2 linked regions of the Caenorhabditis elegans genome follow. The protein of the gene in region 2 interacts with the protein of the main gene of each other region in a biochemical or structural test. Each region holds a gene or a part of one and is shown on either strand. Other genes may lie near its edges. The genes, in order: lury-1 and npr-22.

The links.
Region 1: the proteins of npr-22 (region 2) and lury-1 interact in a test that uses a peptide from one of them, tested with the Caenorhabditis elegans proteins (one large-scale study listed by BioGRID).

The regions. Positions count from the first base shown.
Region 1 is NC_003281.10:12,184,296-12,188,508, forward strand, and holds lury-1 (LURY-1-2), read left to right. Parts: upstream 1-2,115; 5' UTR 2,116-2,128; coding exon 2,129-2,306; intron 2,307-3,292; coding exon 3,293-3,384; 3' UTR 3,385-3,621; downstream 3,622-4,213.
Region 2 is NC_003282.8:8,557,319-8,563,802, reverse strand, and holds npr-22 (Neuropeptide receptor 22), read right to left. Parts: upstream 4,372-6,484; 5' UTR 4,336-4,371; coding exon 4,186-4,335; intron 3,806-4,185; coding exon 3,673-3,805; intron 3,525-3,672; coding exon 2,983-3,524; intron 2,553-2,982; coding exon 2,425-2,552; intron 2,367-2,424; coding exon 2,202-2,366; intron 2,068-2,201; coding exon 2,004-2,067; intron 1,128-2,003; coding exon 1,005-1,127; coding exon of another isoform or gene 962-1,004; 3' UTR 642-961; downstream 1-641. Other genes in the region: mpst-6 (thiosulfate sulfurtransferase), read left to right, coding at 21-199. UniProt on the Caenorhabditis elegans protein: Receptor for the LURY-1-1 and LURY-1-2 peptides which control food-related processes including feeding, lifespan, egg-laying and roaming behavior. Receptor for flp-7 which stimulates serotonin-induced fat loss.

The sequences.
Region 1 (4,213 bases), on a different chromosome or scaffold from region 2:
ACAAATCGTCATATTTTTGTCCACCTTCTAATCTATCAAATACCAAAGACCCCATCTCAAACCTGAAAAAAATAAGAATTGAATTGCTAATTTTGACGATTCAATGATGAACTCTCATTCATTTACTTATTTTCGTTTATTACTTCTTAATTTTCATTTCATTAAGTAATCCGTTTAGGGCAAATTATAGGAACTTTTTAGGGCTTCCCTGTAGGCGTTAAAACGCCTGCCTGCCTGGCCTTAAGGCGACCTCTGCCTGCCTCGCGACTCAATCCGCGCCTTATGCTCTTAATTTGATTTTCATCAAATGATAGAAATGAGAAAATTAGAAATTTGTAAATTCATGTAAAAATGCGTAAGAGGAGAGGCGAATGACCGGGGTGAGAAAGGCAGGATTCAGGCAGGCCCTGAAACCGCGCTTGCCTACCATGAAAGCCCTAGTGTGCCCACACTATGCGCACATCACAGATTGATTAACTGTGTACCATAGTTTTGAAATTATTTTCGTCCAATGCAGAGCTTATTATTGTTTGTTGTCATTTCCAGAATTGCGTGCCAACAACCCTGAGAAAATTAAAAATAACGAATTTCTCTGAATTCTGAATAATCTGAATTTCTGAACCCTTATTTCATATTTTCTCCCCAAAAAATAAAATTTTCACATGTCACAACACCAAATCTTCACCGGAAAATAACCATTTCAAACGCTGCTTTTTCGTTCCTTTTTACGTTTAATGAAATCCGAGACCATTTTTCCCACAATTCTCTTTTTGAAATGGCACTAAATTCAACGCCAACGCCCTATGTTTAATTAAGCTAAGAAAAAGGTATCAAATTTAAGAGAAGGAGGGGTTCTTGATTTACAAGATTAAGGTTTAAAAATAAAGATTTTCGGCTCATTTGATTATGTTTTTGTGGTGCGGTTTTATGGAGTGGAAAATTATCTTGATTTTGACTTTTTTTGGAAATTTTCTGTATTTTCTCGGATATGCTCTTTTTTCTTTTTTATTTTATTTTGAATTTCATTGATCACTTTTTAAATTGTTCAAAAATATAAAAAAATAATGGAATTGGTTCCCTGAAATATTAGATTTTGTCAACAAAAAATATACCAATTTCAAAAAAAGTTCCAATATATTTTTCTTACTTCTAGAAATTTTTAAGACTATCAAAAATTACGTATCCTAATAGTAGTGAAATTTTGTAATTTCAGCTCGAAATTGTGCTCCAGACCTGCTAAATTTTCTGTAGTAACCTATTTTGAAAATCCTCTTTCAAAGTGATTCCAATCAAAATTTGAAAAAAATATACAAAACTAGTGCTTCCCTGGTAGGCAGGCGCGGTTTCAGGGCCTGCCTGACACCTGCCCGCCTCACGGCGACCTTTCGGCTCTTGTTTTCCCTTTTTGACGTGATTTTACAAATTTCTAATTTTCGCATTTTTATCAATTTGATGAAAATCAAGTTAAGAGCATAAGGCGCGGATTGAGGCGGGAGGCAGGCGGAGGTAGGCAGACGGGCAGGCAGGCAGGCGCCTACATTAATGCACTAATTTACGATTAAACCAATTTTTCAAATTTCTCCAAACAAGCCCCGCACATTTTATGAATTTACCAATTATACATATTTCAAATTTTTTCGAAAACTAATTCCCAAGACTAGGTCTTCCATGGTAGGCAGGCGCGGTTTCAAACGCCTGCCTGAAATCTGCCTGGCCTTTCGCCTCTTTTTTGCATTTTGACGTGATTTTACAAATTTCCAATTTTCTCATTTCTATCAATTTGATAAAAATCAAATTAAGGCGCGGATTGAGGCGAGAGGCAGGCGAAGGTCGCCTTAAGGTTAAGTAGGCAGGCGTTTTATCGCCTACATGGAAGAAAAAATTTTCGAGATTTTGTGACAAAAACCGTGAATTTTGGCAGTTTTCGAATTATAATTATCGAAAAAAAACATTTCAAAATCTTCATATTTTTATGATTTCTAGAGAAAAAAAAGTTACTTAATTTAATTTTTCCACAAAAAATTCACACGGTCACACTCTTTTTGCTCTCATGACTTTACAATGACGTATTCCAAAAGCTTCTCAAAATCATCAAAAAATCCACCCGATTATTCCAGAAAATCCAATCATGCTCACAAGGGTCCCTGTCCTCATTTTGGCTGTCATTGTGATGTTGGCATTGTGCCAAGAGCCTGAGAAACCTGAGAAACGGCCGGCGTTGCTGTCCCGATACGGACGAGCTGTTCTTCCACGTTATGGAAAAAGGTCGGGCAATTTGATGGAATCGAGTCAGAATTCTTTGACAGGTAGGGGGATTAAAAAAATTTTTTTTTTTTGCATTTTGGCAAGTCTATAGAACATTTTGGACTAAAATTTATTTTTTTAGAAAAAATAAAAGTTACTTATAAAACTAGCACTTATAAAATGTATTTTTTGTAATTTTTCTTGAAAGTTTAAAATTGCCGGAAAACTCCAAAAAAATTGGGGTAGCTAAATTAACAAATTTTGAAATTTCTTCGCAAAATTTTGACCGTTTTTAAAAACTTTTATAACATTTATATTCGGTTATTACAACCCATTTTCTATAATTTAAAGTAAAAACAAACTTTTGGTAATTTGCCAATATTTTGGTAAATTGCCAAACTTTTTGGTAACTTGCCCAATTTTTTAAAATATATTTTCAAACTTTTTGGAAAATGCCAAATTTTTGGTATATTGGCAAATTTATTTTAGATTGCCCTACGTTTGGCGAATTGCCAAATTTTTGATAAAATGCCAAAAATTTGGCAAACTACTACATTTATTATAAATTGCCAACTTTTTGAAAAATTGGAAAATTTATGATGAATTGCTAAACTTTTGGTAAATTGCCAAGTTTTTGGCAATTTACCAAAAGTTTGGCAATTGTTGCCCAATTTTTAGTAAAGTACCAAATTTCTGGTAAATCGGCAAATTTATTATATATTGCTAAAATTTTGGTAAAATTCCAAATATTTGGAAAATTGCCACTATGTTGGTAGTTTGCGAAATTTTGAGTAAATTTCCAATTTTTTTCTAATTTATAAAAATTTTGGTAAATTGGCAAATTATTAGTAAGTTGCCACTTTTTTGGAAAATGCCAAATTTTTGGTAAATTGGCATATTTATTTTAGATTGCCCTACGTTTGGCGAATTGCCCAATTAATTCTAAATTGCCAATATTTTTGTAAATTACCAAATTTATTATAAATTGCTACTATTTTGTGAATTGCCAAATTTTTTATCCGACTTTTTCCATTTCAAATTATTCCAGAAGAATCATCGGACGTGGTTTGCCAATTAATCGATGGAAAATACATTTGTCTTCCAGTTGATGCTGTCAGATTCCGACCGTTCTTTTTGTGAAACCTCTCTGAAAATATTGTATTGTTTCTCTGCGTCTCTATGTCGTTCAACCATCTCTTTGCTTTCTCTCTCATTCAAATCCAAAAGAAATTAGAATAAATTTGTTTGTGGTGTTATTCTGGACATCAAGCTTGTCTAGAAGAGATTGTTTGTCTCAAGCCTTTTGGGAGGGCAAATATTCTTTAATTTACATTCATTTATGTATACGGCATTTTAATAAAGTCTGTGTCTGATGAATAACTGATAGGACGGCGGAAAGTTCCAATTTTGGTGCATTATTGCGACCTCAATATTATACCAGTAAATGTACAAATTGTAGAAACCCAGTGTCTGAAAAATTTTAAACAGATGAAATTTATGCCACTCAAAAAAACATTTTCAATAAGTCTCTACAAAAATTTTGCAGTCTAGGAAAACTTTTAACTAGATTTTTTAAAAATTAAATTTTTGGAAAAATCTGAAATTGTTCAGACAAAATTTTTTTTACAGGGTTTTCTTGGAGAGGTTAATGGTTCAATTAAACAGTGAGTAAACGTTAAATTTGTGTTTTAATGTGTGTTTTTTTTTCTTGAAACTCACTATTAAGGACTTTGCAAAATTTCGAAAAAAATATTTTCACGGAATATCGGTTTCTAAAATATTTTTGTAACTTGGGTAATTTACCAATTACAAACTATTACAAACCAAGTAGCTGCGTGCAAAAAACTAAACAATTTTGATACATTTCAAAGGACAGTTTTTCGAAATTTTTTTAGTTGAGCTAGCCCTGCATATTGGCATTAATTTTTGATAAAGTTGTTGACTCCAAACATGATAAGAAATGTCATTA
Region 2 (6,484 bases):
AGTTAACTGAATACTTCCAGCCTTCGCCGCCAAGGGAATCAAAGTCGGAGACACCGTTGTCATTGGTTGCGGAATCGGACTCTCAGCTTCAGCTATTTGGCTCGCGGCTGCTCGTTCCGGAATCGTTGCCAAGCTGTACAATGGAGGAGTCCACGAGTTGGCTTACAAGGCGCCACAACATCTCAACACAAAGGGATAAGTGACAATCATTTCTGATTTATTTCTGCATACAACAAGTCGCTGACGGTGTTTTGTGTTTTTTGGTTTTCATATGCTTTACTTTTGTGAAGTGTATGAGAAAATTGAAGAATAAAGATTGAATGAAAATGCATAAAAATTGTTCACTTTGATTGTTTTCTTGTCTGTTTTCTGGAGTGACTATATACTTTAAATATAAGTGTCTGCCTATCAAGACTGCTTATTTCATTTTTCTTTAATAAAATACTTGCATACAATTCACGGAAAATGCATCCCTTCTAAAAATAGACAAATGCCGAATCTCTGTAAATAAACCTTCACACGTGGAACTACAAGCTTGAAACCGAAATCAATCAAATATTTATCTGAATTGCTCAGTAATTTGCCAGTTTACAAAATTTCAGTCAACTCATTGGATTCTTTTAAATCTGTCAGATGTAAATTTGTAGTATTCTAACATTTATTTCTACATTTAGTTTTGAAAAAATATTCAAATAAAATGAAAACACGCAATTTGTATGGTACAAGTTTAAAATATTGGTGATGATTCGTGGATTTGGTGGGGCGAGTATTTACCGGTATGAAAAGCGTTTCAGACAACAATTGATGTTTCATATAAAATTGTTTCTTAGGAGATCTGAGGGGTTTTTTCTTACAATACAATAAAATGGATGGAATATAAACATAATTTGTGAAATTATGCTTTAAAATACAATTTCAAATAACAAAAACCTTGAATCTATGGTCTTCTATAGCTTTCCACTCAAGTACATGGTAGATCAATTTTCTTAATGATACGGGAAAAGCTACGCGAGAGAATTGGCAGAGTTGTTTCGGACGACGACGAGTGGTCGGGCTTCGAAGAAACGTGCCGAACGACATGTTTGCCTGTCAAGGACTCCACTTCGTGAATATCTCGTAAGCGATGTCTGAAAATATTGAAAATTAGGTTGTGGCTAGGAAGAAAGTCGATGTTGTGGAAATAATCAGATTGGAAAATGTGTACTAGGCAGTGGATATAATTGAGGCGTTTAATTAATAAAAAGGGTTTAGAAGTAAAGCATTTGAATTTAAAAACTGTTTTTAAAGTTTTACTTACAAGTTCTTATGGTTCTAGGTTTCGCTAAACTTCATCGGCAAACACTTTCTCAGTAGTAGGGGTTTTCCCTCTATCATTTGGTGGCAAAATTTAGTTCGCAGTTAATTCGCGACAGGCACATAATGACTCAGTAAACAAGCACAATGATTTCATAGCAATCCTGGCTCAATGTGCTCATTATAGGCAGCTTACGAGTCGCAGTATGCGCAATGTCCGATTTTTTTGACGATGTGTAGATAAATCACTGCTCTAGGATTCTGATGGGTCCATCGCAAATTAACTGCGCTGAACGACCTAGGCTGACTTAGAAGATTTTTAATTTTGCTAATTTAACGTACCGTATTTCCTCTCTTAGTAATGCACCGGACAACTTTACTTTGTAACGTTATATATCGGTTTATTTTGAATATATCATTATATCTTTAACTACGAAATTATAGAAAAAGAACTAAAAAATATTTTGTTAGTTGACAATTTTTAAATGGAACAAATGATAACTGAGATATACACTGTCAAAGTTGAACAATGGTGTGCAATACTAAAAGAGGAAATACGATATACTCATAATTTAAAATGAAATTAACTTAATCAACATATTAGTGCATGTGAAGCAGTGCAAAATAAACTTTAAAATGTAAAAATAAAAAAGCCAAGCCAAACAAAAAGTCAAGAAGGACAAAAAACATGGGTTAGAGAACATCCTTACAGCAGGTTTTTCATCGCTTGAAGTCGGATTTATGACACCAGAAAACCGTGAACGGTTTCGAAAACTGAATGATATTGTTGAGTTATTAAAATTATCAAACTGGTTATCAACAAATAAGGTTGATACATAAATAAACTGAATTGCTCCTAACTCTTGGCTTCAATTCAAAAACAGACAACTTTGTAGAAATTGACATACCTTCTGCTAGTATTATCAGTTAAAAGACGAAGTTCTTTAAATGATATACATGGAAGAAGTTTTGAAGAGAAGAAACAGAATCCTTCACGGAAACGGGCATTTCGAATGAAATAGATAATTGGGTTGACCATTGAATGAGACATGGCAAGTCCATGAGCAAACCACCTCAAAATGCGATTTTTAAAACCAAATTATTGAGTCAGATTAAAAGAATATTTCTTACCACAAATACAGAATATATCCCCAACTGTTGATATCTGGATAGAATTCTGGAATGACGTTGATCAGTATAAGTAAAGGAAGCCAACAAAGTGCGAAGAGTGCCGAAATGAGAATCACCATTGGGACCAGCTAAAAATCTTATTTAATTAACAGGTTTCGTTTCTCACGCGGTAATATTTATTGTATTTGATAAAAATAAGTAAAAACGATATTTCAATCTACTGAACAACTTTATCAAACCGTCATGTAATAGGCAGGTAAAATGTAATAACTTCGAACTTTGATTTAATTTTTTTCAATTTTAAAGTTTCACTTAATAATGATTTGGAAAAGGTTATGTCAAAAACGATTTTTGATTATTATTTTTATGCTACACATGAGAATATTGTTCCTATAAATATAGGGGTCGGTTGACTTTGATTATGGTTATTATTATCATCACCGCACTGAGGAGCCATTGATTGTTGCATTATTTCCATATTCTTATTATTCTAATAAATCAAAACTGGGAGTTTTTGAAAGGTTAGGCTTAAATTTTTAATAATTCCAGAAATCTCACCTTTTTGACACTTTCATGTCGATCAACGATCATTTTCTTTGTTGCTCCATTCTGCATTCCTGGTACTCGACTATTCCACATTTTAATTCCAATATGTGTGTAAGTTATTATTAAAACTGCTTGAGGTACAACATATTGTAGAATTAAGACCATTGAAGAATACACTTTTCTCACTTGTTCTCCAGAATCTCCAAAATACGTCCAATTTTCTCCACAATTCGGTAAACCGTCTTGGTCTTCGAAAAATCTCGTTGTGAAGAGTAACGGCAACGCCATTAGGATACTGAATATCCACGTGGCAGCTACCAGATAAAGAGCTCTTCGTCTTGTAATTCGAATATTTGGAGTTAAAAGGAACATTATAGCCATCCACCGATCAAAACTGATAACGACAAGTGTCCAAGCTGATAAAAATACAGCCATTGCTTGAAGGAATGCTAATAAAGAGCACATCATTGAGCCGAAGAGCCAACGTTGATCATCATAAATCAATACTTGCCAATAGCTGAACGGAATGCAGAATACTGATATGAGAAGATCAGCTGCAATTTTAGTTGTTTTTTTGGGAAATTTGCTCAACATCTTAGATTAATTAATTTTTTAAACTTATCCATTTAGAAGCTCATATAAGTTCTGGAGATTTGAAAAATTATAAAAAGTTTTCAAAAATTCAAAAGTAACAAAACCCACCAACTGCCAAGTTCAATATCAAAATATTAGTCGCCGTTCGAAGTCGTTTAAAATAAACAATAACCAGAATAACGAGCACATTTCCATAGACACAGCATACGCAAAGTATACTATAGAAAAGAATACATAACATCTGTAAAAAATTAGTAATAAATAGGTACAAATATTAAAGGTAATAATGTAGTAATTTTATTCATTTTTTACACTTAAAATGGCCTCTAAAAATTATACCGAATTTTAATAATGATAGCACTTGAAAAATTTTCAAAACTTTTTATTTACGGTTCAAGTTTTGAAGAAAACGCTATCATAAATTAACTAAAATAAAAGTACATGGCACGTTAAAATCAATTTTCAGCAGGTAAAATTGGCTAAAAACATGGCCAAATTGCCTAAATATGAAATGTAAAAAAAACTAATTTTAGTTCCTTTTTTCAAAGTTTCAAAACTCTTGTAAAATTTGGATTTTTAGATATACTTTGAATGTATAAGAATATTTTTTAAAAGTCTCACCTTCATACTTGGTGTCAAATGATAAATATGATTCATTTCTTGAACAGCTGGATTTTCAGTTGTCGTCGGTTCGTTTCGCATCATAATTTCAGAGGCTGTCGTCGTGATTCTGGAGAGCAAACTGCTTCCAATACCCCCTCCTTCGTCCATATTTGCTCACGAATTAGATGACGAATCGTTCGATCTGAAATTTAAAACAATTTATTCGGAAAGAGTTTGGGGAAGTGTTCCAAATAAGGAAGACCACTTGTTCATAGAAAACCGAAAATTAAAAACAAAGAAAAAGAGAACATATTTCGGAGAAATAAATGAATATGAAGAAACCAAGAATGTATTTTCTCGCACATTTTTTAGATCAGAAATGTTGAAAGAGAAACCTTCAAATTTATGAGAATGTAGGAGAAGGATAATATTAAGAAAGTGTATCAAATTTTGTTGTTTGAAATTGATTAAAAAGTAAATTTCTATAAAGTGAAAAATTATATAAACGAAGAAGGTCAATTAGCAGTTGGAAAAATAAGGCAAAGATCAAACAAGATTTTTTTGTGATTCTTGGGTTTTCGGAAGCAAAGTATGAGAGAATTAGAGGAACATAGGATGCTCGCAATGATATTTGGATGTTTGTTGACCTCGAAAAATGACTATAGTCTTTGCGGTTTTGTAGAAAAAAAAATATAATGTTTCCGAATCCAGAAAATTTGTTAAAAGTGTGGTATATTCGAAAAATAATTCTTTTGGGAAAGTCCAGTGGGAATTAAAAAAATATATGGCAAAAGTATAGGGAAGGGAAAAACTTGAAGAACTATCCTATTTTTCGCACAAGGATGATTGGGGAATGATTACAAAATGCAGAAGTGATAGTTTTTGATTAATAAATAGGTACATTGTAACCGAAAAATCCAGAAGGTAGGCTGCTAATATCTGTTTTCGAAATCAAAATTAATAAGATGATTTCATCTGAAAATGTGGCAAACTTTCTTGAAATCTGCCATGTTTAAATAGTGATATAGTGATAGTAGTATCTAGTGATCTGTAGTGGTCCCATTTTGACACATGATCCATCAATTTCAATGAGAAAGGTCAAATCAGCCAGACATGTGTTGTATTAGTTTACAAATGAACTTTGCAAGATAACAGGAATTTATGGAAGAAAAATGTTGGAAAAATGCGTGTCTACCGAAGTTTTAGACATGAGTAATATGATCATACGATAGAGTACAAGTACAATATGAATACTTGAATAAAGTACAAACTTTTATTGCAGGGTTAGAGCACGTGCTAAAACTTGAGAAACTTGAACAAAATCAAGTAAAAGAAAATTGTTACAGATTCTTTAAACCGAAGTTTTCCAATTGTATTGTGCTAATTGTATGTTCCAATAAAGAAACTCTAGCTAACTGTTAATTATAAAAATTTAAGATTTTGGATACGCGATTGGTTTCTAGAATTTAATCGAATGAAAGATTACCGTCGTTTTATCGTATTCTTCAACACTATATCTCAATAATTTTAGCTGAATTTAATTCTTATTTGTCTATTTTTTTGTAGAAAAAACTATTGACCAGATAGGACAAAAAAAAACTGAAATTTATTAAAATATGTCTAAAATATGTTTCAATGATGTTATAATCAGGAAATGATAAGGTAGACCTCAGTACATATGACACCTTTCACGTTATTAGCAAGAATGTACATAGATATCTCAAGATTCAGATAGATTACGTCATCACGGCATGAAAATGTCTCAAATGTACATCTCAATTAGCATAAAAATAATTTCTAGAATTTCTGAAAGAAAAAGGAGAAGTATATAAAAATAGGAATAAGAACACCACATCCTTGCAAAATGAATAATAAATAATAAATAATTAATATTGAGTCAACAGAAATGTGTCTGGATGTAGTGCGATGTTGTGAAAAAAACAAGATAAAGTTGACTGAAAATAAGAAAACATTCATGTCAAGTAAGCTTCAAAACTTTGGAAAAGTCTTCGCTTTTTGGAAGTCGTCTATGGCAAAAAGTGGCAAAAACTCAGTAATTGCCACTTTTAAACTGTCAATAAAAATTTTCACACTTTTTATTTTGAAAAGTTGTATTTGAACATTTTGGCATCATAGGAATGGTTTTTGACAACTTCTCCACATCCACCTTCAAAAAAGAAAAAAAGATAAACATTTATAATCAATTCTCCGAACTTAAAATTTATTTTGTTTTACTTCACTCTTGTTTCATTCACAATCAGGTTTCAAACATTACAAGACAGATTCAGAAAGCTGTTGAATAATTTTTAAAAAAGTT